Linked DNA regions of Elephas maximus indicus. Each later gene encodes a partner of the first gene's protein in a complex. Links are inferred from orthologs where the notes say so. Each region holds a gene or a part of one and is shown on either strand. Other genes may lie near its edges. The genes, in order: TADA3, TADA1, MBIP and TAF4.

Region 1 (6,859 bases):
CACGGAACAGGGAGGGTCAGAATCCATAAACTCCCCCCACCCAAAGCCACTGGTAGTCTCCTCTCTAGCTAACACTGGAGCCAGACAGTACCAAGGGTGCTTGCATATGGGTCCCTGGCTCTCAGACACCACAGTGAACAGAACGGGCCTGGCCCTCAAAGCACTGAGTCTAGAGTGCTGGTGGCAGGGTTTTGCCCCCAGAGGACATGTGGCAACACTGCCGTATATTTGATTGCCACAACTGGGAGGCGGGGTGCTACTGGCGTCGGGTGGCTACAGACCAGGGATGCACTAAACAGCCTATGATGCACAGGACAGCCCCCACAACAAAGGCTCAGCCAGCCTCAAATGTTAATAGTGCCAAGTTGAGAAACTCTGTTCCAGACATAAAGGTGAGCGACTGTGTCCTCAATCTGTCCCCTGAGCCAACAATGTATAGCTCTACTACTCTGTGCCAGGCACTAAGCTGTTGTGGTCTGCCATCAGGTCGACTCCGACTCATAGCAACCCCCCGTGGCAGAGAAGGGCTCCACAGGGTTTCCTCGGCTGCAGTCTTTATGGAAGCAGACTGCCACGTTTTTTCTCTCCCACAGAGCGGCTGGTGGGTTCAAACCGTTCAGTTAGCAGCTGAACTCTTAACCATCGCACTGCCAGGGCTCCTTACACACTGAAATAGGTGCTGGGGATTCAAGATGATCGAGACCAGCTCTACCTTCAAATTTCTCTCAACCTGGTCGGGGAGACACCGAAGTAAATGACTATGATACAAAGAAATGTGAAATAACTAGATTTATAAGTAATCCACCTGCAGAAGAAACTGAGTTTGATTTGAAGATAGAGATAGGATTAGCAGGATTTAAAAGCAAAAAATAGAACAAGAACGTTCCCAGTAGACCTTCCAGGTACATTGGCCTATCTTCAGTTCCTTACATTAACCAAGTTTTTCCTCACCCCAGGGCTTCCCACATGCCGATCCATCTATTGATAAGACATTTCTCTTCTCTTTGCCTAACTACCTTTCCACCTCCGCTTATTCAAGAAAGGCCTCTCCACTGTATTCAATCTCATGTCTCAGGTTTTCCTCCTTTATAGTATTTATTACAATTCATGATGGCACATTCTTCTTGTCTTTTGTAGTTTTTCCTTCACAAACTCTAAGCCTCATGAGGGAAGAGACCGTGTCTGGTTTATTCACAGCAATATATCCTGCATCTAGCTCACTACCTAACACAAAGAGCCTTACTCATTCTCTGTAGGGTGAATGAATGACAGCGATAACGTCAGCAGTATCTAACACAAAGAGCCTTACTCATTCTCTATAGAATGAATGAATGACAGAAATACCGTCAGCAAAGTTAGAATGACACAAAGGGGTATTAAGAGTTCCAGAAGTGGTAATGACTACAATGTTGCTGTATATGGGAATTTGATTCTGTAAAAGAGGTGGCAAGATCGTGGAGATTTTCAAATGCCAAGTTACTGAGTTCAGCTTTTTTGGGGCAGTAAGGACTGTTGGGGCTTTCTGAGGAGGAAGTTACATGACTGCAGCTGCATGGTGGCTCTGCAGAGAATGGATTAGAGGGGGAAGTGAGACATAACGCAGAAAGGGGTATTTAAGAAGTGCTGTTGAGAGCCTGGCCTGGGGCAGTGGAGAAAGAGGGTATCACAGAGATTAGACTAACAGATGTAGAGCATAAGAGGATCAAACAACTGCCCAAAACTGTGCTCCCATATGATGGAACACTATACATGAATGACTTCCAAATGTATTATGGGAAGTGAAAGAAGCCAGACTAAAAAGACTACAAAATAAAGAACTCCATTTATACGACATTCCGTAAGAAATAAACCTATACAAAAAAAAAAAAATCAGCAGTTGCCTAAGGTGGGGGGGAAGGAAAAGACATTATAAAGGGGCTTAAGGAAACTTTTTTGAATGACAGAAATGTTCTAAATGTTGACTGTGGTAGTGGTTACATGCCTGTGTTTGTCTAAATTCACACATGGTAAAAGCCACCACCTGTCAATTTGCTGTACTACTGCATCGGTATTTGAAATACCAGAAGGGGCACCCATGATAGACAGGTTTCAGTGGACTTCCAGACTAAAGAAGACCAGGAAGAAAGGCCTGGCGATTTACTTCCAAAAACTAGCCAATGAAAACCTTATGAATCACAAAAGAACACTGTCCAACATGTCATCAGGATGATCAACAGCTGAAAGAGAACATCACGTTTCGTGAAATAGAGGGCCAGCAAGACCCTCAGTGAGATGGACTGGCACAAGAACTGCAATGATGGACTTGAACATGCAGATGATTGTGAAGACGACGCAGGACCAGGCAACATTTCATTCTGTTCTGCATTAGGTTGCCTTGAGTTGGAGTCCATTCGACAGCAGCTACTTATCTATCTAAACCTAAAAACGGTGAATTTTAGGTGGCCCGCCCCTGCCCTTTCGTTAATAAAATAGGCATAGTTTTTTTCTAATACCTCGATAAACTTGCTTTAAAAGAGCCAATTACAAGAGTTAAAAAAACACACAAAACCTCGCAGGTTCTAGCTGAGGTCCGAGAGGACACAAAATTAGGAAAGAGAACACAGGTGAAGATCAAGCAAGTTTAGGAGGGTAGATGAGTTTTGATCTGGAGATCTGATTTCCAGGTATGTTCAAGATTTCCAAAAGAACCTTGATAGAGAGGCCAGAGCAAGGGAGGCAGATTCAAGACTCACCAAATACACAAGGTCACTGAAGCCATGAGACTACACAGGTGTCACCAGGAAGTGTAAAGAGAGGAAGGTAGTGAGCCAAAGTCACAACTCCCAGAAACGACCACGTTTATCAAACGGAAGATCTCCAAGGAGGGAGGGATCAGCAGTATCATATCCTAAAGTAAGGCTGACACTGTTCAGTTCTGACCAGGGCCGGGCCTGAGAGGAAGCAACACAAACGGATCCTTCAGTGGGGTAGCAGCAGCGCTGGGGTACCAAGAAGAGTGGATAAGGAAGTGTGAACGCCTCCTTTGGGAAATGGTGGGGTCAACTGGCTAGGAGACGAAAAGTTATGTGTACTTACTGCAGTTCTACTATGGGTGGGGAGCTGGCCCTTCTACATGCCTCAGCGGCCCTACTACGGGCTATGAGGCCTACTACGTGTCTGCCTTCCACAGGCCTAGGAGGTCCCACTTCCGGCTTCCTCCCTGCCTCGAGTATTCCCGACCTGCTCCGGGAGCCGGACCATGAAGCGACAGGCCTGCTTCCTACCAGGGCGTCCCCCTCAACCGCTCACCTCCTCCTCACAGCAGCCCCCGCCCCACCCTCTTTCTCCCAGCCCCATCGCGCCCCCACACTCCCCGGTATCCCTCGGCCCCGCGCCTCCTCTGCTGCAAAGCTGCGTCTCCCCTAGACCCAGAGCTCTGAAGCAGAACGGCGGGGGTCCCTGGCCCGGGTCCCGGCTCTCTCACCATCGCGGGCTCTGGCTGCGCCGGAAAGCGGAAGTGCGGAAGTGGCCGGCCCAGCGACGCCTGCCCTTTCTCGAGAAGCGCAGCCGCAGTCTCCGCCCGGACTTCCGGACGATACTATCTCCGCTCCAGAGCGGGGGGAGGAGGATCCTAGGAACACTTAGATCCTTGGCAAGTTTTCCCGCTAGAACTATCATGGTATTGGACTACGGAAGTTGCAAATCGAAACTCAAGCTTTTCCAGGTATCCATATAGTTCTCGCTTATGCCTTTGGCCTTCTTGTCGCCTTAGCCACAATCTCTTCCTATAGTTATGCAATGGTACATCCCAGTCTCAGGTTGGGCACCATATTAGGACAGGGTGAGGAGGTGAATCCTTTCGTTCCTTCCGGTTCTGCGCCCCTATCCTTTCTCCCGGCTCCTCCTACCTGCAGCCCCCGGGACTAACTGCCGCCTGGCGCCGAGATCCCGGCCGCTGAGCCCCGCCCCTAGCCCCAGGCTTTCTAGGGTACGCCCTAAGGGTACCATTCCACCCGCAGTGGCCTTGCTGGCGGTCTGCACCCCCTCTTGGAGCCACAGTGGGATTGCCCGAGCCGTCTCCCCGCCCCCGGGCGAACTGCAGGGGGCCCGCCCATCGCCAGTTCCGGGGCGGTTGCTCCCACCGACCGGAACTCCTCTCCCCCTCCCGCGGCCCCGGGCCGTAGGAGGCAGCAGTGAGGAGGTAGAGGGGGCGGGGGCCGCGTTAGAGGGTACCTAGAGGGCGGGCACGGGGCGACCCATGGGTGAAGCCAGTCATTATAACAGTCCCACTTTTTCTGTGCCAGGCACTGAGCTGAGCTCTTGACGGGCCTCATCTCTTAATCCTCAGAACATCCCAGGGAGGTATGTACTGTTGTTATCCCCATTTTACAGACTGGGAAACTGATTCAGAGAGACAAATAGACTTGTCTTCTTTTGTCCCCATTTTACGGATGGAAAAAGATTAAATAACATGTTCAGGGCCACAAGCAGAGAATGGTAAAAGCTGAGCTTGAACTCAGGGCTGCTTGGGTACCCAGCGCACATTCCTGACACTATCAGGGACATAGATAAAGAGAATTGGGTAAGGGGAGGTGGGCAACGGAGAGCATGGGAAGCACAGAAAACTTTGTAAAAATGAGATGCTTGGAAACCAGGAGAGATGAGACAAAAAGGAACAGTGTCAGGAAAACAGGGTACATTGTATTGTTGTGATTAGGGCCACAGACATGAGACTTCCTGGGTTCAAACTGCATTTCTGTAAGCTTAGGCCTGTGCCCACCCTTACAGAGTCTCAGTTTCCTTGTCTGTAGAACAGAGATGACAATGGTTGTTGCTCCTGGGGTTGGGTGATGAATTCCACAAGATAAGCCTATAAGTACTCTGCACCTAGTTTGGTACACAGTGGGTACTCTGTGAGTAGGAGCTGAGCCACCAGCATTGTCAGAAGGTACTGAAATCTGACTTCCTTGTTGAAGCTCTCTCTAGTGGAAGGAGCCCTTGGGCTTTTCTCGTGACAGTTTGTCCCTCGTCAATCTTTACTCTCCAGCTACACAGGGCTCCGTATCCTGGGCCATGAGTGAGCTGAAGGACTGCCCCTTGCAGTTCCATGACTTCAAGTCTGTGGACCACCTGAAGGTCTGTCCCCGCTACACGGCAGTGCTGGCCCGCTCCGAGGATGATGGCATTGGCATTGAGGAACTGGACACCCTGCAGCTGGAGCTTGAGACTCTGCTCTCCTCTGCGAGCCGGCGCCTACGGGTGCTGGAGGCAGAAACCCAGGTGATACCCCACCTGCTGGACCTTGTCATGGAGCGGGGGGATTGCCAGGGGTGGACTGTGACAAGATAGCAGGATGGGACATTGAGTTAGCTCCACCTGCTGGGGCTTGGGGTACAGGGCCTTATGGGGGTGTGTAGACTAATACAGGACCCAGCACGTTGGGGGTTGGGAGGTAGAAGGATGGGACGTGGGGGTAAGGTAAAAGCTTAGTGAATTACAGGTTTTGCAGTTTATGAAGATCATGCACATTCATGCGTATTGTATCTGCAAGATTGTGCGTGATCCTCATAACTTGCAAGATTTATAATTCACTAAGCATTTATTGGAAACTCTGGTGGCATAGTGGTTAAGTGCTACGGCTGCTAACCAAGGAGTTGGCAGTTCGAATCTACCAGACACTTCTTGGAAAGTCTACGAGGCAGTTCTACTCTGTCCTATAGGGTTGCTATGAGTCAAAATCGACTCGGTGGTAATGGGTTTGGTTTTTTGTTTAAGCATTTATTTACCCCCCATTATGAGCTGAAGGAGCCCTTGTAGTGCTGTGGTTAAAGCACTCGGTTGCTAACTGAAAGATCAGCAGGTCGAGCCCACCAGCCACTCCTAGGGAGAAAGATGTGGCAATCTGCTTCCCTAAAGATTTACAGCCTTGGCAACCCTAAGGGACAGTTTTACTTGGTCCTGTAGGGTCCCTGTGAGAGGGAATCCACTCCAGGGCAATGAGTTTTTTTCTCGTTTTGAGTCATGTGCTAATAATTAAAGGAGTAATTAAGACAATTCTGGTCCTCAGGCAACTCGCCAGTTAAAGGGTGGGGGAGGTCAGACACGTACCAGATAACGTGTTGTAGTTAGGGATACTAGGAGAACCGGAGCAGGGAGATCTGGATTTGAATCCTGGACTGAGCTCTTGCTACTGTTGTTGCTTCCTAGTTATGTGACCTTCAAAAAGTTACCTCACGTTTCTGCTGAGCATCCATTTCCCCGTCTGCAAAATGGGCTCAGTAACAGGACCTACCTAAGAGCATTAAAAAAAAAAAAAAAAATTTTTTTTTTTTTAGTGAGGATAAAAAGAATTCTTGCAAGGACTCAGCTCTATGTCTAACACTTAGGAAGCATTTCAAGTGTTATTTATTGACTCTACTTTGATTATTTTTATTCACTATATAAATGTCTCTCAAGTCCTATGTCCCAGGCACCATGCCAGATCCTGGGCAATGGAGATAGTGAAGATGAGCTTCCAGTCTCTAGTAGTTTATAATCTAGCTGAAGTGAGAGGGTGTGCCATATTCCAGTATGACCAAGCAACATGTTTGGGTCTGCAGTGGAGGTCTGAAGCACCAGTCTCACAAAGGAGGGGGATGCCATTTCCACTGGGCCTCACAGGATATATAGATGTAACTTGTGGCCCTTGGGAATCCATGATAGATTTTGAGCAGGGCTGTGGCACAGAGTTATATTTGATCATCTAAGAAGTTGAGTGACTGGTATGATGAACACTTCCCAGCTGTGGTGACGTTTGAAATAAAAGGTTGCTGGGAGACTTGCTTGCCTTCGCCAAAAAGTTACCACCAGAATACTTCCCCAGGGTTAACATGTCCTGGGA
Region 2 (7,660 bases), on another chromosome or scaffold:
GTCAGCAGTTCAAATCCACCAGCCACTCCTTGGAAACACTATGGGGCAGTTCCACTGCGTCCTATAGGGTTGCTATGAGTTGGAATTGACTTGATAGCAATGGTTTTTTTGTTTTGTTTTTAGATGTATAGAGGTATGCGTGTTGTCAAGCATGTTCAAAAGAACATCTTTGAGGAATATCTTTCTTAGCGAATAGGTACATAGAGAGAAAGAAGCCCTGGTTGCACAATGGTTAAGCGCTTGGCTGCTAACAGAAAGGTTGGCAATTGGAACCCCCCAGCTTCTCCACAGTAGAAAGACCTGGTGATCTGCTCCTGTAAAGATTACAGATTAAAGATTATTTCTGGGCCTCTATCCTAAAGTAAGAAGGAGCTCTGGTGGCACAATGGTTGATTGCTTGGCTGTTAACCAGAAGATAAGCAGTTTGAACCCACCACCTGCTTGCTGGGAGAAAATCCTATGTGGAAGTTCCACTCTGTCACATGGGGTCCATACGTGTCGAAATTGACTCAACAGCATACTACCATCACCACACAGCATATAGAGATGGGGATGCAGACTGTTGGTGGGAGATAAACCCAAACAGCTGTGTCCTTTGCTAGTCCTGTTGAATTGTCTCCTTAATAGGTTCATCTATATGTTTGAACTTGGTTGAAAAAAATGGATGCAGCCACCCGTAAGCCTCAAAACAATCAGAGGAGAGAACGTTTGTACAGGTACTGAGTCATGTGGTTTGTTATAGGAAGTCAGGTGACTACAGTGCTGTGTGTAAGTGTGGGGAGGGCAGGGGTAGGCTGAGTCCTGGTCATGAGAAAATTCAAAAACCAGGGGAGAGACAAGTTTATTGAGTAGTCAATAGGCAGCCATGGAAAGCTTAAGTGGATGGCTACTTAAAAAAAAAAAAAAAAAACAACAAATGGAAATTTCTCTGGCGTTTTATGACACAGAGACGAAGACTTTACCTGTCTTGTTCACCTTTGTAGCCCCAGCACCGAAAACAGTACCAGGTACATAACAGGTGCTCACTGCATATTTGTTGAATGAATGAATAAACTTGAGGGGGCTTCTGGGGAAAAACTGCACAAGATTTAAAAGCCATTTAGGATTATTTCAAGTCTTTGAGGCAATTTGAAAATATGTATCAAGAATCATAAAGATTCCTAACATTTGGCCCAGTAATTCTATTTGTGAAACTCTATCATAAAGTAAGGAGCCCTGGTGGTGAAATGGTTAAGTGGTTGGCGCTAATTGAAAGGTCTGCAGTTTGAACCTACCAGCCACTTCATGAGAGAAAGATGTGGCAGTCTGCTTCTGTAAAGATTACAGCCTTGGAAACCCTATGGGGCAGTTCTACTCTGTCCTATTGGATTGTTATGAATTGGAATCAACTCAACAGCAATGGGTAATCCTAAAGTAATAGTCCTATTATGTGTGTATTAGTTTCCAGCAGCTATCATAACAAATGACCACAAACCTGGTGGGTTAAAACAACAGAAATGTATTCTCTCACAGTTCTGGAGGCCCGAAGTCGGAAATCAAGGTATCAGCAGGGCCACACTCCCTCTGAAGGCTCTTGGGGAGAATCCTTCCTGCCCTCTTCCAGCATCTGGTGGCCAGATGCTCCTTGGTTTGTGGCAGCATGACTCTAGTCTCCGTCTCTGTCTTCACATGGCCGTCTCCCCCATGTGTCCTCTTCCGTCTGTCTAATTGCACTCTGCCTCACACCTGCCGTTGGATTTAGGACCCACCAGGTAATCCAGGGAGATCTCATTTTGAAATCCTTAACTTAAGGACACCTACAAAGATCCTTCTTCTAAGTAAGGCCACATTCATAGGTTCCAGGAGCTAGGATTTGGGCATATCTTTTGGGGGCCACTATTCAACCCACTAGGAGTCACTGGGGCGTATAAACAGTTCAGAAACGGACTACTAAGCTAAAGGTTGGTGGGTAGACAAACCTGCAACAAGAGTATCACCAAACATGAATTTACAAATGTATACATAGGTAGACAGGTATGCTGAGAGGTATGGGAAGGTGTAAGGGAACATACCCACCTATAGATATAGGCTTGGTGGTGGATATTTCTACATACATGACTGTAGGTAGTGCTTATACGTTCATATAAACAATAGAACACACAAGAAGCACAATCAGGGCAACTTCTTAGACATAACCAAACAGCTCCAGGGATGAAATCCCTAGGCTTGGAGGCAAAGGACCATAGACTCAGGGGACATCTACATCAATTGGCACAACAGAGTTCATAAAGACAAAGTTCTGCATCCTACTTTGGTGAGTAGTATCTGGGGTCTTAAAAGCTTGAGAGCATCCATGGAAGATACAACCGTTGGTCTCTTACCATCAGGAGCAATGGAGACTGAAGAAAACCAGACTCAAGGGAGCAATTAGTCCAAAGGGCTAATGGACCACATGAACCACAAGCTACATGACCTGGAGACCAGAAGAACTAGATGGTGCCCAGCTGCCACTACTGACCGCTCTGACTGGGATCACAACAGAGGGTCCCAGACAGAATGGGAGAAAAATTGTAGAGCAAAAAAATCAAATTCACACATACAAAAAGACCAGAGTTACTACTGTGACAGAGACTGGAGGAACCCCTGAGACTATGGCCCTAAGACACCCTTCTGAACTGGAACTGAAGCCATTCCTGGAGACCACCTTTCAGCCAAACCATAGACCCAAACCAAAAACCAAACCCACTGCCATCAGGTCAATTTCAACTCACGGAGACCCTGTAGGACAAAGGGTAACTGCTCCATACAGTTTCCAAGGAACGCCTGGCAGATTTGAACTGTCAACCTCTTGGTTAACAGCTGTAGCACTTAACAACTACACCACCAGGGTTTCCAGACCATAGACAGGCCCATAAAATGAACGATAACAAATGAGAGGAATGTGTTTCTTAGAGCAATCAAGTATATGAGTTCAAAACGGCAACATTTGCCCCCAAACCAAGATGAGAATGCAGGAAGAGGTAGAAAATCTGGACAAAAGGAAACAGGGAACCTAGGGTGGAAATGGGGAGAGTGCGGACACATTGTGGGGAATGAAACCAATGTTATGGAGCACTTTGTGCACAAACTATCAAACGGGAAACTAATTCGCTCTGTAAACTTTCACCGAATGCACAATGAAAAATTAAAAAAAAAAAAAAGGTTGGCGGTTTGAACCCACCTACGGGTGCCTTGGATGAAAGGCCTGGCAAGGCAACCTGTTTCCAAAACCTGACAGCTCTGAAAATCCTATGGAGCACAGTTTTACTCTGCAACACATGAAGCCATCATGAATTGGAATATGCTTTGTGGCAACTTTTTTTTTTTTTTAATTTAACCCACTAATATGTGAGAATGCTTTATGCATAAAGAAGTTTATTATACTATTGCTTTTAATAGAGAGAAAAATGGAAACAATATTCAGTCTAACAATTAGAAAACAAGTTATTGTATATATTCTCTCTGTGGGGTATTTAATATGTTGTTATTAAGATTATGGTTATAAAGATAATGTAATAAAACCAGAATCCAAACCCACTGCTGTCTATTCTAACTCATGGTGACCCTGTGTGTCACAGAGTAGTTCTACTGCTCCACAGGGTTTTCTTGGCTGGGATCTTTAGGAAAGCAGATCACCAGGCCTATCTTCCATGCTACACCACTGGGTGGGTTCTAACTGCCAAGCTTCAGGTTAGTGGCAAATTGCAAATTGTTTCCAACACCTAGGGACCAAGATAATGTGATACTACAGGGAAATGCTTGTATTAATATATTAAGTAAAAAAATAAATAAATAAAAAATTGAACATAAAATATGATTATAATTTATTGGTGGGTGGGGGGGCGTCTCCCACTTAAGTGTTTGTCAGGGCTGATAAGACATTTTTTCTTTCCTTTGTCTTTACCCTTCTGTGTATTTTCCAAATTTTTCATAAATAATTTACACAACAAATATTGAGTACCCACTGTGTGCCAGGCACTGCTCTAGGAACTCAGGTCAACAAAACACAAATCCTTGTTCTCAGGGAACTTATATTTTAAGTGATGAAGTGAGAAAATTAATAAGAAAAAGCAATTCATATTTAATTGCAACAGCAAAAAATAAGACTGCCTTGGCCGGGTCTTGGGAATCTAATCCCAAGGAAAGGAAATAATATTGATCCTGTATCTACTTTTATGAAGGAAAAAACTAGTTGTTTTTGATCCTTTTCTAACCTAAAGGCTGGTGGTTAGAACTCACCCAGAGGCTCTCCGCAGAAGAAAGGCCTGGCAACCTGCTTCTGAAAAATTCCAGCCAAGAAAACTCTATGGAGCAGTTCTACTCTGTAACACATGGTGTTGCCACGAGTTATAATCTACTTGAAGGCAAGGGGTTATCTACTTTATGAGCCGAAGGAGGAAGGTATTCTTTTAGGTAGAAGGACGACAGGTAGAATTCGGAACTGGTCAACTCATAAGAGACTAGAAACCGCTGGAAGCCGCCAGCCCGGGCGACACTGCAGGCTGCGCTGGGCGGGTGCGTTTAGGTTGGGCGCCGGGAGCCAGGTGAGGCGAATCACGTGACTCAAGGGGCGGAAGGAGGCAGAGGAGAGGGAAAAAGCGGCGTTTGGCTCGGCACCATCTTTCCAGAAAGGCGGGCGGAGCCGGAAACCAAACATCTTCGGAGAGACTCGGGGCGGGACAGACGGTAGCGAACTGGCTCCCAGGGCCCAGGCCTTCTGCTGAGTTGGTTTTTTGGTTGTTGGTCTCAGCGGCCAGGCCCTCCGCGGTCGGGCTGAGACGTGCGGAGCAATGGCGACTTTTGTGAGCGAGCTGGAAGCGGCCAAGAAGAACTTGAGCGAGGCCCTGGGGGACAACGTCAAACAGTAAGAGCTGCCCGAGCGCGGCCTCCGGGTCTCCTCCCGGGTCCTCTCCTGGCTTCGGGCGGCCGAGACGCCCCCCGGCGCCCCGAGGCCTGTGCAGCTTGGCGTCCCGGCCGGTGGGGCCTCCGGGCTTCTGGAGCCGGGGCCGGGCAGGCGACGCAGACTCACCCCGCCGAAGGGGCCAGGCCTTCCTGGTGCCCTCTGGGACCCCGGCGGCGCCTTCGCCCGGGGCTCGCTGCCCTGGGCGGGGCGGGAGAAGCGTGCTTCACGCCGAAAGGCTTGCTGAGCCGCTAAGCGTCCGGCGCCGGGCTGCCGGACCCACGAGGCCGGCGGGGCCCAGTGACCGGGAGCCCAAGGCGCCCAGGCCGGCGCGGGCAGCGCGCAGGGCGGCCAGCCCCAGGGGGACGTCCTGGAGGCGAAGGGGTGAGGCAGGCTTTGAAGGGCGGGACAGCAGTTCCCACCGGCCGGGGAAGGTGCGAGGTGCACAGCGAATACATTAATTGAGCTCAGGTAGTATACTAGGCACTGTGTGCAAGGAGCAGTGACAGCACTCTCGGAAGGCAGAAAGACTCTGGAGTAAAATAAGTCATGAACGTTGCCGAAATAATAGTGGGATAGCTCACGTTTATTAAACACCTTTTAAACATTATAAATGTATTACCTAATTTTCAGAACAGAGATGTGAAGTTGGTACAATTATTCCCATTTGACACAGCCAGGATTGAAACCCACGCTTTCTCATTTCTGATGCTCTCACAGGGGTTCCACAGGGCTCCAGAGGCGCCCAGTCAATCCATCACCCAAGGCATAGCGGAGGACCCAGTACGAAATCGGGTCAGATGCTGAATGGCCCAGTGTGAAAGCAATGTTTAGCCAAGGCCGAGACTCACAAGGATGAGTTTGAAATTTTTCGAAACACTGTTATCGCAATTTTAGTTTTCAAAATTTTAGGAAGTAAGTTTTAAGTGCTTAAAATCATAACATCTGTGTTTTTGCTGCTGGATGCCTTTTGCGGGGTTCTCGGCATTTGGAATACTAAATAGATGCTCATTTTCACATGAGGCTGGTGGGGAAGCAAGGTGTTTGGGGAATACTTTTTCTCCAAAGATTTCTTTTTTTCATATTCTTTCTTTGCTTTGTATTTTTTATTATGACTAGATTGAAGTTGCTTAGTTTGGATGTCATGCGTGAGTGAGTTTTGGAGTTTTTTCTTGGGAGATTTCAGGGTGGTGTGACATTCTGCTCTTCATCCTAACGAGATATGCAGAATTCCACCTAGGATAGTCATGGCCTAGGTGGAATAAATAAACACTAAATACAATTCTTAAAGGTTGTGTTAATATTACACACGCTAACAAATCAAGCTTCTACAAAGACTAGTATTAAAGTCTAATCTGTTATTCTCTCATAATTTTTTAGTTTTTTGTAAACATTTATTAACTCCCAAAGGATATAATGTTCTGCCCGAAGAGTCCTGGTGGCGCAGTGGTTAAGAGCTCGGCCGCTAACCAAAAGGTCTGCAGTTCGAGTCCACCAGCAGCTCCTTGGAAACCTTATGGAGTAGTTCTGCTCTGTCCTATGGGGTTGCTACGAGTCGGAATTGACTCGATGGCAATGGGATAAAGTTATCTTTTAATATTCTTGTTTCCAGTCTGTTTCCTTTCTTGTTTAATTAATTAAAAATTGTTATTTCAATATGTAAAATTGACAACTTTTACCTTTCTTAATTACTATAGCTTTGTATTTTTGTCATACTGACAGAATATCCTGTTTTAAGCACGAATAGGTGTTTTTCACTCTGTTACATCTAGAATACTTACCAAATATTTGGAAGGTGAGTACTTACTACTACAGTAAATCTGAAGGATGTAGCTTGTGTGTGTGATTGACTTTAACCCTGATTAGATTCAGTGGTGACCTCTGTGATCCCCCGCTCATCAGTCACATGCAGGTTTAGAGATGCCGCTGATGTTGCAGTTGGCCGCTCTGCAGTCATTAAGAGCAAAGCTGACTAGCAGGTGTTGGTCAGGTACCAGAGGTGACGCTGAATTTGGTGCATCTGTAACGTGAATCCCTCTGGACAGTGCTATCAAACTAGGCCTTTGTGTCAGGAGCAGTTAATGGTACAGTAGTGTTCTGGGTTCCATTCTCTCGTCGATTTTTTTTCTCCTTTCTATTAAAAGTGCCTCTTGTTTGAACAACTGCTATACAGTTTCTCACATTTTCCTTCAAGAGTAACATTGGTTTATATAGCCTGACCATCTAAATGTGGTCCTTAGGGCTAGGTGCAATACATAAGGCCTGTCAGGAGCCAGGATGTGAGTTGTGTGTTATTTATCCAGTGGTCCCAATGTCCTTTATGCCTGACTGTGACACTTCGGATGCCTGTGTCAGCTTCCGGAAAGACAGGCTTTGCTAGCTAACTTACTTTGTACATAGCACCCAGCAAAGGTACTAAATAATTTTCTCATGACTTGATCATATCTTCAATGCTTCCTGGATGTAGTATGACCCACTTACACTCCTCTGCCGTTAGCCTCATCTTCATAGGTAGACCAGCTCCATCTGGTATTGTTGAGGAAAATAGCCATTTGTTTGTGGGTATACAGCACTTTAACACAGGGACCAGGATTGGGGAGCAAGTCTTCCAACTCCTGTTAGGCAGTGTTGGCCGTTGGGCTGTTTCCTCCAGAAGGTTTGCTGTTGGAGAAAATAGTAGCATTATGTTGGCAGGACTTCCTGATAGAAACTTGTCAGAATTCTAGACGCTCACACATTCCA
Region 3 (6,934 bases), on another chromosome or scaffold:
AGTCTTGGTCTGCAAGCTCTGCTGAAACCTATGTACTATAGGTGACCCTACTGGTATTTGAGATACCAGTGGCACAGGTTCCAGTATCACAGCAACCCACGAGCCACCACAGTATGACAAATTGACAGGTGGGTGGTAGATATATCTGCCTAGCCCACTAGACATAACTGCCTAGCTCTTTGAGGGAGGTTCCTTGTCTGATCCATCTTTGTACCCTCAAGGCCTATCAAAGTGTCTGGCATACAGTAGGTACAATTGTTAATTTATATGGTATCATTCATGAGAATGGTTATGGAGGCTATTTATACATATTTACTTAAAAATTGAAGCACTTTGAATTTGCTGCCCCAAAGGAGGATAAACAGGCATTGTGTTAGTCATCTAGCACTGCTATAACAGAAATACCACAAGTGGATGGCTTTAACAAAGAGAAACTTATTTTCTCACAGTCTAGTAGGCTAGAAGGCCAAATTCAGGACGTCAGCTCCAGGGGAAGGCTTCCTCTTTCTGTAGACTCTGGAGGAAGGTCCTTCTTATCAATCTTCCCCTGAACTAGGAGCTTCTCCACGCACAAACCCTGGGTCCAAAAGACATGCTCTGCTCCTGGTGCTTCTTTCTTGGTGGTATGAGGTCCCCAACTCTCTGCTTGCCTCCCTTTCATCTCTTGTAAGATAAAAGGTGGTACAGGCCACGCCCCAGGGAAACTTCTTTTATATTGGATCAGGAACGTGACATGAGCAAGGGTGTTATATCCCATCCTAATCCTCTTTAACCACAGGCAGAGATCATGATTTATAACACATAGGAAAATCACAAAATGGAGGACGACCACACAACGCTGGGAATCATGGCTTAACCAAGTCAACACATACTTTTGGAGGACACAATTCAATCCATGACAGACATGCTTCATTATTTTAAATTAATTGTTTATAGCATTCTTACTATATTTTATAATTTTCCCCCAACACTGGAAGCTTGTTTCTTTTTTTCCATTTTACAAATATGTTTACCTTAGGCAAATAAATTTAGTTCGATAAGCATACATAGGGCAATTACTCTGTGCCAGGAACTATGCTAAGTCTTAAGTACAGGAACATGATACATATAAATCACCTGGAGCCCCAGTGGCGCAGTGGTTAAGAGATCAGCTGCTAACCAAAAGGTTGCCAGTTCGAATCCACCAGCTGCTCCTTGGAAACCCTATGGGACAGCTCTGCTCTGTCCTATGTGCCAGGAACTATGTCAAGTCTTAAGTACAGGAACATGATAAATATACTCATAGTTAAATAGCAATACATACTGTACTCAAATTTCAATATCGAAGCACTAAGTACAATAATGGAAGTATATATGAGTTTCAGGAGAAGTATAGCAGAGGTTACATAGTCTCTATGAGGAGAGGTATGAGGAAAGAGTTCTCAGAGAAGATTTCTGAACTGGAGTTTGAAAACTGGAGAGTTTTCCAAGCAAACCAGAAGCAACAGGCAGGAATAAAAGAATGGAGACAAGAAATCGTAGGGCTATAAAGAAGAGCAGTTTGGGGAGCATTAAGTACCAGATGGCTTGTGGTAGAAAATGAAGCTGGAAACTTAGGCAACAGTCAGGTTATAAGGATCTTAGATGACAATATAACGGACTCGGACTTCGCCAGTAGGTGATGGGAAGCCAGAGACGACAAACACTATTTGTTTTGCCTTTTCTGCATTAGGAGAGATCTATATAACATTCACTCAGCAAACAACTGTTAAGTGCATATAGTGCTCTGAATTAAAGTTCATCATAAAGAACATTTTTGTTGAAAAGGTAAATAGCCTAGTTTTCACCTATAATTTCTATCCTCTCCAACTGATTCTTGGCATAAACTCACAGGACAGTATTTCTAACTCTGTAGCTAACACCAATACCAACATTTTTCAATCATTTCCACCAGGCAGCACATTTTTTAGCAACCCAGTTCATAAACTGTAATTAGTCTCCTATAAAGAATAAATTATTTCCTTTATTCTTTTCTAAATTGCATAGCTTTCATTTTATTTTTGTTACACGTTAATATCTATAAATATCTATTTAAGGTTAGGCCAAAGGAATCCACATCTTTTCAGCCTACGAACTCTTCTATTTAAAATGGAATTTTCTATTATAAGAAGGAAAAAAGAAATGAGAAAAATTTCCAAAATGTAAATAATATGCCTCAGGAAGGCATAAGAAAGATCCCTGGAAAGAAGACACTACAAATGAGTTAACAAATCCCAACTATTACCAAAGTAAATACTAAGATAAAGGTAGAAGTCCAGATATCAAACACAAAATTACATGGAGAAGTGAGATAATACAAATCAAATGGGCACCATTTAATTTTGTATTAGGGGTTCAAGTGAACAAATAAAACTTGAAATTTCAAAGTCAGTGATGGCAAAGAAAGGAATGAGCAAAATCTTGTTAAGGATGGTATTGTTTTAATGTACAAAATATTTCTAAATGTGTCTCATACCAGTAATCTACATATTTGAAAAAAAATCTCATATATAGATAATAAATGACCTGAAACTGGTTGTTAATTTGCTATAGAAACAAAAACTTGTAGTTACCTATTACAATATTCTCCTTTAACTAGAGGACCAGAGTCAAAGAAAATATTCTAACATTGCAAAGAAATCATATATTTGCGTTAGAGAAGGGGTGAGAGACTTAAATGAGAGGGTTGCTCAATTTGGAATTAGATACTGTGAAATTTTTTTCTGGATATCTCTAGACATAAGTGGACTATCAGCTGTATATCTTGTCTGCTAACAAGGGAACAGGCAAGATTTCTTAAGATCCTGTCAAGCCTGGTGATCCCACAAGTCTTTGGAAATAAAAGCCTAATTAAGAGGCTCCCTAGGGACAGGTCAAAGGGTTCTTTTAACCCTACTACCCTTATCGGTTAGCTGGTTACCCTTATCCCAGTTCCTTGATGCCCTATTCCTTCCCTTTCATTCAGCCTCCTCTAAAACTGAAGAATACACATTGTACAAGTTTCCATCTTTGTCCCCTGTACTGTAAATGCATTAGACTATTAGAATTAAGAGTTTTAAGTCCCTTGTCTCTTGTCTTTAAATTGATACTGCTTTTTTTTTTTAAGTGTTTTTGAACTTTCTTCTAAGACTTATTTTTTCAGTTGGACAATTTTTTTTTTAGTGATAGACTTTGCCTGAAAGATTACAAAGTCCTTCGAGCTTCTTTATAATAAAGCTATTTGATAAATAACACTTGGTCAAAGTTTAATTCAGTTTTATGTCCTAATTTCAAAGTTTGTGTTGCATGGAATTACTTAGGTTAAATTCCTGCTGGAATCATAGTGACCACTGCACTTCCTTGAAACAATTTTAGGGTTGAACGTCTCTACCGCACCACCCAGAAACTAGCAACTGGTGCACGTCTTAAAACCTGATATAAATTATTTGCAGATTTAAAGTCATTATTGTCATTCCTTTGGTAGTAAAACGAAGGCACAACGGAACACTTTTGTTTTTACATCCTCATTTTGCCCCGCATGAAAAATTACTGGCGTTAATTTGTGTAAGTATTAAACAAGCTTGTAGAGATGAGCACATTCTATCCAGTTATGGTAATTCTGTGTGAGTTATCCAACGTTTAGAAACACGTGCGGACACCGCCCTAGACCTGAACCCGATCTCTCCTGAGACCACTACACACTGGCATGTTAAAATTTCAACTTGTAATTCTGAGGCTCGAACTCTAACATTTAATGATAAATGTCCTCTTACCGACATTCATAAACACCATCTAATAGTCAAGGTACGTTTCAAGACGCAAACTCTAAACCCCTGCTTCAATCACCATCCCAGATACAACATCCGGCCTCGCTCTGGTCAGCAATTGCCGGCTCCCGATTCTAGGCACCGCGCCACACTGGCTGATCACCTGATTGGTGCCCGTGCTTGCCAGTCACACAGAAACGGTGGGAGCCTAAAAACCACGATCTAAATAAGACGCGGTGTTTTTACGTCATTTTCGAGCGGCAAAAACTGGAGGGAGGGGGCTGCGAACGCGCCTGGGTAGTGGTGGGGGCTGCCGGGGAAGGTGTCATGGCTGCTGCCGCCACGGAGCTTAGTCGCCCGAACAGCAGTGACAGGAGCTCGGAGCGGAGCTGCAGCCCCAGCCTCTGCCGAGAGGCGCTCTGCGAAACCTTTCGCTCCTTGCGAACCCTGGCTGAACAAGTGAGTAGTGACCTGAGGGAGCAGAGCGTGGGAACCGTACGGCCCCTCCCCCCTTTTCCCTGTAGTTAAGGGCGGGGGCCGCCGAGGGCAGCAAGCTGCAGGCAGCGGGAGCGGCTCAGGCCGGGGGAGGAACCCCGGCCCCTGCCGCCTCCCGGCGGAGGGAGGAGGATGGCTGCACAGACTTAGTTGCAGGGACCGGTTGCAAACTAGATTTCCTTGCAACTGTTCTCTTATAGGGTCGCTGTGAGTCGGAAGCGACTCGACGGCAGTGGATGTTATTATTCTCCCGTAGAGTGAGTGAGGACAGTGTAAATGAAAACCTGGTTCTCGGAGAGAGTGAATGCGGAAAAGCTTCTCTAACGGTTTGGGAGGCGTCTGACGCTGAGTTCTTTTTCCTCCAGTTCCTTTTAGAAATTGGCTAGTTAGTGCGGCCTGAGATTGTGGGAAAGCGCTCACTGTACCGTTTTTGGGTCGATTTGCTCTTATGAGTCACTTGTTTTTTTTTTGTTTTTTGCTTCTGGACATCATTTGCATCTATTACGCTTTCAGACGGGGAGGAAAATAAAAGGAATTAATCGAAAATACTTACAGCATAAAGTTGGATGGGTTGCCCATGGTTAATCTGTTTGCATGAGAGCTCTTCTTTTAATTATTAACTAGGCTAACTGATAAATAACTTGCATAAATGTCTTAGTAAAATTGGGTTTGAAAGAAATGAGCTCCTTACTCTGTTCGGATCAACTCACTGTTTGGTTTCAATTACAATTCAAAGCAAATTTTAAATGAAAAACAACCTGAAGAGATGTTTATTTGCCTACTTTCTAAAAGGAAATATTTTGTATCTTAGATGGAACACTTTCTAGCTATACAAGTTTGTTCTGGAACTGGTAGTAATGCCTGTGGTCAAGTAGACACAGCAGACGTCTGTGTTGAAGATAACGGTTAATTCTTAAGAAAATAAAGCATTTGTCCAATTTATGGAAATTATTTTTTAAAGCCTTCAGTATATGGAGAACTAATTTTTTAAAGTTATTTCAATATTTAAAAAAAAATTCTAGCATGCTTGTCATGATTTACAAAGAGCATTACTTTAAACACTCAGCTTGGTATAATGGAACAATTATTAATGGAATCTGCTAAAAGGTAGAATATAGCTTTTAAACTTGGTTACTTGCCAAAGACCAAAAAATATTTATGAAGACTTGAGGACTTTTGATTAATTATTGTTAACATTTTAGCCTTAAGACCCAAGACTTCTAAATGTTTTAAAAGTTAGAGAACTTTTTATTTTTATGGTGTGGCTATTAGAAATTTAAAGTTTAGTCATACTCTAATGCCAGGATGAAAAAAGTTTATCCTATTATTTACAGAAGGTATTTCTGATTCAGTAATGGAATATTTATAAAAATCAACATTGAGGAATGATTTAAACTTTCTAATTTCGTGTTCTGAATTTTTCAAATTCATTTAAAAATTGTAAACATTCAGGTATTCTGTAGGTACAGTAGAGATGTGATTAAAATCTACTCTTGTCACCTGTCAGAAATGTTTAATATAAATATTTGGTGAGTTTACATGACGCAGTGAGGGAATCTTTTATACAAGTGTCAAAAATAAAATTGTCTCGTCAATTAAATGCTAATCATTTTGGTAATATTCTTTCAATTTTGAGACATATTATTTAAAGATAAGAATAAAAACCAGAGTATTATAATACTTATAAAATCACTTCAGGGGAAATCACTGCTTCCTTTTGCAACAGGTTTGAAGGATTTAAAATATATGCCTAAACTCATTCTGTATAATGCCATTGTATTATTGGTTCTCTTCAATAGGAAGCATAAAATTGAACTTTAAAAAGTATTTCTATCCCAGATTGAAAAATGTACTAATTTTTGCCAAGTTTAACCTTATTGCTTGCCTCCGGATGGCCCGTTTTACCAAGTTAAAGAATTGTTTATTGTTAGCTTGGATTGTCTTATTAATGAAGTTTTGACTGACTGAAAATGCATATTTAATTGGCCTATATTAATAGCAGACTAATATAGATTTTTGAGTGAATGGTGTACCACTACAAATTCTATAGGGTAAAATGCAGAGAAAATTTGTTGATTAGATAGTTGAATGTATTAGGATAGTTTTCAAGTTAATTCATGACATTATTATATGGCTTTCTTGAAAGACCAAGTATCCTTATTGCACTTGAAGGCTTTCATAATTGTGTTGAATTGAAACGAGAATACGATCCAAACATTTATTTTTATTTTCCCTAAGTTACTCTTTTCTCTAGAAAATTTGATGCTTTGCTTTGGTTGAGAATTTGCCTGCTTTACTCCAAACCATATTCATAAATTTGTTCTACTTGCTATAGATCTCTTTGAGGCCTGTAAAAGTGTAGTAGTAGTTTACTTCCATACAAAAGTTGTTGTCTAACAAACTCTTTATGAAAGACGTTAAGGGAATGTAAACTAAGAGGCATTAATCTTTGCCAGTACAGCCTACATAAAAATTTCTATTTCTTTAAACTTGTCTAATGTGAACTTTAAATGCTTCTGATCTCATGTTCAAAGGACAATGAATTTGTTTCAAAGTTTTCTTTTAGTATAGTGTTTTTTTATTGGATACATTGCATCTCTGGTTCCTTGTACAGTAATTTTTATAGTCACACCTGATAAGACCTATATTTGAATTCATGCACCACTTGTCTTTAT
Region 4 (7,255 bases), on another chromosome or scaffold:
AGAAGCTGAGGTGCCTTAGGGCTCCCCTTACTTGAAAGTAAGGCCATTACTTGACTGCAGTTTGGGATGGCAAAGGAGACATTAGGGAACATCGACCTGCTGGAGTGAGGTTAAGGAGGGCAGTTTCCCTCCTGAACTTTGAAGTAAGCTCCTCTCTGAGTTAAACCAGTTACACCCATCCACAATGGCTGCAATTAGCCATTTATGGCAGTAGGCCAAGAGACTGTTGTAAATGAGTCACTCAAGAGTTTGCAGACACCCATGGCCCCCATCAAGGAGATCTGGGTCAACTTCAGAGCAGAAGCCAGCCAGTCTGTGGTTATAATTTAGTGAGTGGACTTCTAATCAGTGATGTCCTACTATCATTAGAGAGAGGGACCAGAGGGGCTGGTCAGCCGGGGCAGCCTGAGCAGAACTTTGGAGTCCAGGTCCCAGGTTTCTTCAATGCCAGTTCTGCCCCCACTGGGAATGTCTTGGGCCATTTACTTAACCTTTCCAAGCCTCGGCTCCCTCCTCTGGAAGAGGCTAAACCTGCCACACAGTGAGTGCTGTTGTTATTGGAGGCCACCTGAGACTGTCCCTGGTGAGAGAGTCTTGGCAAGAAAGAGCCAGAAAGGGGACTGTTGAGATGGGTGGGCTCCACCCCAGATCTACCCATGAGGCTACTGCCTAATTCTCCAGGTTCCCCTGCCTGCTTCCTGGGGCAAAGGGGCCATCGGGCCGAGTGCCTTCTGACCTCTGAGAGGCCTTCTCCCTGTGAGTGGACAGACTGGCCATCTGCATTTGCAGATCAGTCATGAGACATGTTCACAAAGCTGTCCTGGCAGGCGGATCTGTTCTCGAGCATCCCTGTCTGCAGGGCTGAGGAGTGCTGCTGGCTGGGGTGGTGAAGTCCTCCAGGTGAATGGCCATCTAGCCATGTTTTTTTTTAAATTTGTTTTTATCATGTAATATTGCAGACAGAGAATGAAAGTATAGGTGACATGCCACTGCACACCTTCCCCACAGCCCAGCATTGAAACCATGGAGTCTTGATAAAACTTGTATTTGTGTGTCTCATGCTTTTTCCTCATTTTATTGCTTAATAAATTAAAGGCCCCACAAACCTGCTGGCCTGGGAAGCAGCACTTATGCTCACAGCCTGGCACATTTGCCAGTAGCGAGGGTGTGCAGCCCTGGGATCTTAACTCTCTTTTGTAGCAAACCTGACCCATGTTCCAACGCAGCATTTGTGGTCACATATCACACGTGTTTCATCCCTCTCTCCTCTTTTCACGCTAGATGTGAGTTTCCCTGCAAACCACAGAAGCCAAGATGCTTTGTGGCCCCAAGTGAAGCCAGATGGAAATGGTCAGAGGCACTTGGCCTGAGTCCCCAGGGCGGAAGAGTTGGCGAATATTCGCCCACCTCTGCCCCATCAGGAGAGAACTGCTGGGTGGGCAGTGCTCTCCAGGTGAAGCAGAGCTGACCTCTCAAAGTGTGCTGTCTGTCTGGGGAGTAGCAGAAGACCCTCCGGGAAGGGAGGTGAGCTGGGTGGGTACAGAGCCATGACCTTACTACACTTCCTGCGACTGCTGGACTTGAGGTTGTTCCGGCAGACTCTGACGTGACGTCGGGAAATGTATCGATGCTGGAGCACACCCTGACTAGGAGAAGCCCCCAGGCAAGCCTGGTGGCAGAAGGCTGGTCAGACGCTGAGCTGGAGGCCAGCCCATATGGAGCCCAGCTGGCTGGAGGGAACTGACAGGAGCAAGGCCTCAGTGCTGAGCACCCACTGTACCCCAACTCACCCCATGTCTTCACCTTTCCTTTAGCAGAGCTCTCACTCCTGCATTGGCAGACCTGCAGATGTGAGAGCCCAAGTTCCCTGAGCCTGTGACGGGGCCTCACCCTGGTATGGTGACACCTTCATGGGGCACTGAGTCCTGCCTGTGGACTGGCTGCTGCTATTCCTCTGCTCCTGACTCTAAATTCTGAGGGGCTGCACACGGGGCTGGCACCAGGCAGCTGATGGGTTTTGTCTGGTCTACTTCAAAATGTTCTAAATAGTTGTCAACATTTAAAAATTGAGAGATTTTCACAAGACTCCATATTTCTTCTATTGTTTGAAGATTCAGACCACCTGCCCTGCTGAGGTCTTCTTAGCTCCCGGCTGCCCCTTGGATACTGGGACAGGTCCCCAGTGGTCAGTCCCTGGTGCACCCTGGGGCCTCCTCAAACCCAGCTCATTTTATTCCTCTACTTTCCTGCCTGACCTTTCTACAGCAGAGCCGAAAAATACCTGAATGAATCACAAGGGCTAGGCTAAGATCTTTATTTGTTTGAGTTTACTTTCAAAGTTTCAGGATATTTCTGAAGCCTTGCCTTCTGGGGGCTAAAACTCAGGTTTAAAATTCAAAACACTCCCCACCCCCTGCCCAGACACCTTTCCTTGGTTCCAACATCCGCTATGATTATCTACTGCTGCTCTCAAGAGAAAAAACCTGGAGAAAAAATCGTGTGTTTGTTATCAATAGGTCGGTTAGGTTGAAAGGTTGCAATAGGAACACACACACCCACCCACCCACCCACCCCCTTAGGCTCTGTTTTTGAGAGCTGAGCAGTCTCTTTTGTGAAGGCAGTTAGAAAAATCATTTACTATGTCAACACTGGCTGTGCTGAGACTGGTGTTTACTGTGGTGACTGTCTCTTCAGCAATAAAGACAGGTCCTGTGATTCCGTGTTGCCAGTGACTGAGAAAGCAGTTCTCTGCGGAAACTGTTTTGGGCTTTTACAAAAAAAAAAAGAAAGAAAAAAATCAGAAAACCATTAAAAATCTCCAATAACACGAGTCTTTTGGTTAAAAAAACCAAAACAACTCAGAAAAAGGGAACTTTAATATTTTTGTAGAGGGGCTCCTAAACATCATTTTGGGTCATTTACCTCTCCCTCCCCTGCCCAAAGTAAATAAAGAGCAGAAAAGTACTTCCAAAAGCCATTGCTTCATACCAGCGAATTTTATTTTGTACCTGGTCTACTTACCTTTCTGTCTGGGGGAGGGGTCTGTGGTCATTACATGGCAGTCACCTTTGAGCCTCAGAGTCCCATCCCCCGGAGAACTTCGTTTATTGACTTAAAAGTGGAGGGGAAGGCCCACGGTAGTCCCAGCTGGAGGGTAAGCAGGGGAGTCCGCGCAGACTCGGTTCCCAGGACCCGCCAGTCTGGCCAGCCCCGCAGCCCCCCAGCCCCAGTTCCCACGCGTTCCCCAGCATTGAGGGTAGAAGGCTGCTTGCACCCAGCCGAGTGCGATCATGTTTTACTGCAGGAGAAATAGCCCTCAGGGTGCCAGCGCGCACGATGCCGGCCCGCCCTCCGGTGACCACCACCGGCGAGGGTCGCCCCTCTGTACACATCTGTCCCCGCCCTGCCCCCTCTGTCCGCCGGATGTCACCCATCCCGGTGATCGCGTCTGGCCGGTAGGCCTCGTCCACCCACTGGTGCCTCAGAAGCGGCTACCGGGGGGTGTCCAGGCGCTCTTGCGGCCCTCACGGTGCGCGTTTGGTGGTCCCTGCTTTAAGCGGTGCCGCCAAGACCTCGGCAGGCGGCGGGGGTCTCCGGGGCGTGCACCTGCGCCCCTCCGGCGGCGCTTCCCCGTGCGTTTGCCGGGGTCTCCCGGCCCCGGCTCCCCTGGCCCCCCGCCGTCCTCCCGAGCACCGCCGGCCTGCACGCCCGGTCACGGCGTCGGCCCGGAGCCTCGCCCGCTGGCGGGGAGCAATGGCGGCCGAGCCGGGGTGCTGCTCTCCGCCACCGCTCCCGGGCCCGCCCGTGCTCCCCGTGGCGCCCGGCGCGGCCTCCCGAGCTCTCCAAGCGGCGGCAGCGGGGCGGACTGCCCGGCCGCCCCTCGTCGCTCCGTCGCCCGCCAGCCCGCCCGCTCTAGTCAGCTTCGGCCGCAGCCATTTTGGAACGAGCGGAGACAAAGAGCTGGCCGCCGCCGCCGCCGCCACCCCCGGCCGGCCTCGTCCGTCCCCGCAGTCCGTCCCGACCCGGCCGTCCGCCCCCCGCACCCGCCGCCCGGCCCCGAGCTCCAAGCCCACCGGCCGCCCGCCCTCGCCCCGGCCTCTAACGCTTGCAGCCATTTGTCGCGCCTTTTAAGCGCGCGCCGCAGCCAATGGGCGCCCGCCGGGCGGCGGGGCGGGGGCGGTGCGCGCGGCTGCGCCTGCGCACTGGCGCCCGCCCGCGGCCCCGCCCCGCCCCCCCGGCCGAGCGGCGGCGGCGGCGGCGGCCGAGGAAAAAAGATGGCGGCGGGCTCGGATCTGCTGGACGAGGTCTTCTTCAACAGCGAGGTGGACGAGAAAGTGGTGAGCGACCTGGTGGGCTCGCTCGAGTCGCAGCTGGCGGCCAGCGCGGCCCACCACCATCACCTGCCGCTGAGGCCCGACGCGCGGGCCGCGGCCGCCGCGCTCGGAAACCACGCCGGGAGCGCCGGCGCCGAGGCCGCCCCGCCGGAGCGGCCCGCAGCAGGTAGCCGGGGCCAGGCGGGGCGGGCTGTCAGCGCGGCCGCCGCGCGTCCTCACCGCTCTCTCCTTGTTGTTGCAGGGCCCGGAGCCGCCAGCCACGGCGCCGCGCGCCCGCCGCCGTCCGAGGGCCCCGCGCCCGCCCCGGCGCCCGCCCCGGCCCCGGCCGCCGCGGGCCCCGAGCCCGGCCCCGCCGCCAGCCCCGCCGCGGGCCCGGCCAAGCCTGCCGCCAGCCCCGCCGCGGGCCCCGCGCTGCGCGCCGGCAAGCTGGGCGGCCCCGGCGCCGTGCAAACTTTGAATGGGAGCAGCGTGGTGGTGAACTCGCTGCGCGCCGCGCCGCCGGTCAACAACGGGCCCGCGGCCGCGCCGCCCCCGGCCAAAGCGGGCGCTGTCAGCGCCGCGCAGCCCGCCGGCTCCGTCATCCAGGCCGCCGCCGCCGCCGCCGCGTCCCCCGCCGCCCCGGCCCGGCCGTCCGGCACGCCCGCGGGACCCCCGGCCGCCGCCGCGCAGAACGGGAGCAGCACTGGGATCGGCGCGGCGCTGGGCGCGGGGGGCGCGCCGGCGGGGGGCGCCGCCGCCGCCGCGCCGGCCCTGCAGGCCGCCCCTCTGGTGAACAGTCAGCCGGCGCCCCCCGCGCCCCCTGCCGCCGCGCCGCCGGCGCAGGCCGCCAAGGCCGAGTCCCCGAAGACCTCGGTGCCCGCGGCGCCCCCGCCGCAGACGCTGCCGGCCAGCTGTCCGGCGGGCGCGGGAGCAGGCGTGCTGCTCGGGCAGACTGTGCCGCCGGCCGGCCCCCCGCCCGCGCCCGGCGCCCCCGCCGCGCTGCCCAAGGGCGCGGCCGCCCCGAGCCTGCCGCCCCGGACTCCCACGGCCGCCGCGCCCGGCCTCCGGGCCACCCTGACGCCCACCGTGCTGGCCCCGCGCCTGCCGCAGCCGCCGCAGAACCCCACCAACATCCAGAACTTCCAGCTGCCCCCAGGTGAGTGGCCGCCCCCCGCGGGCAGGGGCGGGTCTGCGAGCCGCGGAGTTCCGGGAAGTACCCCTACTCACTCACGGAGACGCTAAGGTCACCTGTGTCCTACAGGGCGGGCGGCGATTTATTTGGCTGCGGTGTAGGGGCTGGGGCTGCACAGGTGTAGTAGCCTCTAAAAAGGTGTTGTGGCAGCCCGGGCTAGGGCTGTGTGCATGTATGTACACGTGTGTGTAGGTACATGTATGTGTTTGTGTACACTTGGATATGTGTGTACATGCTCGGGTGTGTGCATAAATTACCTGCTTATGTATCTGTGTGTACGTACACCTGTGTGTATATACATGTATGTGTGTGTATGTCTGTGTGTGTTTATGTATATCTGTGTTTGTAGGTACTTTTGTGTGTATACAGGCATGAGTATACGTCCATGTATACTTGTGTGTGCTTATCTACCCCGTGGGTGTGTACACACCTCTGTGTGTGTAGAGTTCCTCTGACTAGGTATGTACACTCACGTGTGTATGTATACCTGCGTGTATGAGTGTATGTACACCCGAGTGTATACGTACATCTGTGTGTACCCGTGTGTGTAACGTACCTCTGTGTACGTGCGCTTGTGTGTGTATGTACATCTGCATGTAGGTACACGTCTGTGTAACACACCTTTCTCTGTACCTGTATACCTGCATCTGTAGGTACCCTTGTGTGTGTGCATGTACTTCTGTGTGTGCTGTGTGTATATCATACCTCTGCATAGTACACCTCTGTGGGTGTGTGTGCGTATGCATGCCCAGTGCAGCTGTGGGTTTCCCACCCGTGACGTCCTGGTCTGTCACTGCGTGTCCTGCATTGCTTGTTTGGTTGTGGCAGACTCGCAGTTGGGTGGCTGGCCCTGCGTGCCCCTGCCCCCATGGGCAGCAATAGCAGCGATTGCAGGGACAGGTTGTCCAGAGGTTGGGCGTCACGGGAGCACAGTGTACTTGGAGCTTGGGTGGTCAGGCTTCCCCTTCCTGGTGTCTGGCCTGTGTCCCCACCTGGCTCCTTCCTGCTCCTTTACCATCTGGCTCTAGAGGTCCCGACAGTGGGCTGGAGAGACCCCTCCTAAAGGTGCTGTCGCAGCAGGGTGGCCTCTCTCTGGGAGCTGGCGAGGTGTGCACTCTGCCTGCGGTGATGGGGCCCCCTACACTGCAGCCTCCCGTTCAGCCTGAGCACAATCCTCCCGGCACATGTCCTTCCTGGTCGCGTCCTTGTCTGAAAACCATGCTTGAGTATCATCTTAGCTGGACTTGTTACGCTGTCAGTATTTTCAGTTCAGCAGAGACACTGTCAGGACTGCCTGGTTAGTTGTGCAACTCTGGAAGCCGTTGGTGGTCAGAGGCTCTCCAGACGCTCCAGTGGGTCTGAGAGTGGTTCAAACCCAGAACATTTGCAGAGGGAGGCTCTGGGGTCAGCAGCTGCCTCAGCCTTCAGCGTCTCGCTGCACAGGCTGCCGCTGGCCCTGCAGCTGAAGTTTGACAGTGAGGGATTCCCTCAGCAGCCAGCCTGGGGCAGGTCTTAGAAGGAGTCGCCTCCTCCTTCCCATCCACTCCCCCAGCTTCAGGACTGTGGGCTCGGCCGAGGCTCCGCCCTCACGGGTCACATGGGTGGGTCCAGTTGTAGTAGAGGGTGGCAGTAGTGAAGACAGCACTGCCCATGCTGCCCCCGCCCCCCGCCCCCGCAGCCCCTCCTGCTCTCTGGAGCAGGACTTGTCGCTTTGGAACAATTTTGGAGTTTTAGAAGAGGAGGAGGGTTA

Evidence for each region.
Region 2: TADA3 (region 1) and TADA1 share a complex: the UniProt entries of both Homo sapiens proteins name them as parts of the STAGA transcription coactivator-HAT complex. The link is inferred for Elephas maximus indicus from reciprocal best matches to the Homo sapiens genes TADA3 and TADA1.
Region 3: TADA3 (region 1) and MBIP share a complex: the UniProt entries of both Homo sapiens proteins name them as parts of the ADA2A-containing complex. The link is inferred for Elephas maximus indicus from reciprocal best matches to the Homo sapiens genes TADA3 and MBIP.
Region 4: TADA3 (region 1) and TAF4 share a complex: the UniProt entries of both Homo sapiens proteins name them as parts of the TFTC-HAT complex. The link is inferred for Elephas maximus indicus from reciprocal best matches to the Homo sapiens genes TADA3 and TAF4.

The regions. Positions count from the first base shown.
Region 1 is NC_064838.1:34,766,743-34,773,601, reverse strand, and holds the start of TADA3 (transcriptional adapter 3), read left to right. Parts: upstream 1-3,845; 5' UTR 3,846-3,967; intron 3,968-3,976; exon of another isoform or gene 3,977-4,180; intron 4,181-4,283; exon of another isoform or gene 4,284-4,341; intron 4,342-4,790; exon of another isoform or gene 4,791-4,927; intron 4,928-5,026; 5' UTR 5,027-5,052; coding exon 5,053-5,259; intron 5,260-6,859. Other genes in the region: ARPC4 (actin-related protein 2/3 complex subunit 4), read right to left, coding at 3,464-3,466. UniProt on the Homo sapiens protein: Functions as a component of the PCAF complex. The PCAF complex is capable of efficiently acetylating histones in a nucleosomal context. The PCAF complex could be considered as the human version of the yeast SAGA complex.
Region 2 is NC_064821.1:207,693,358-207,701,017, reverse strand, and holds the start of TADA1 (transcriptional adapter 1), read left to right. Parts: upstream 1-4,643; 5' UTR 4,644-4,808; coding exon 4,809-4,882; intron 4,883-7,660. UniProt on the Homo sapiens protein: Probably involved in transcriptional regulation.
Region 3 is NC_064828.1:48,670,989-48,677,922, reverse strand, and holds the start of MBIP (MAP3K12-binding inhibitory protein 1), read left to right. Parts: upstream 1-3,932; 5' UTR 3,933-4,091; coding exon 4,092-4,223; intron 4,224-6,934. UniProt on the Homo sapiens protein: Inhibits the MAP3K12 activity to induce the activation of the JNK/SAPK pathway. Component of the ATAC complex, a complex with histone acetyltransferase activity on histones H3 and H4.
Region 4 is NC_064843.1:5,834,940-5,842,194, forward strand, and holds the start of TAF4 (transcription initiation factor TFIID subunit 4), read left to right. Parts: upstream 1-4,245; 5' UTR 4,246-4,274; coding exon 4,275-4,500; intron 4,501-4,575; coding exon 4,576-5,469; intron 5,470-7,255. UniProt on the Homo sapiens protein: The TFIID basal transcription factor complex plays a major role in the initiation of RNA polymerase II (Pol II)-dependent transcription.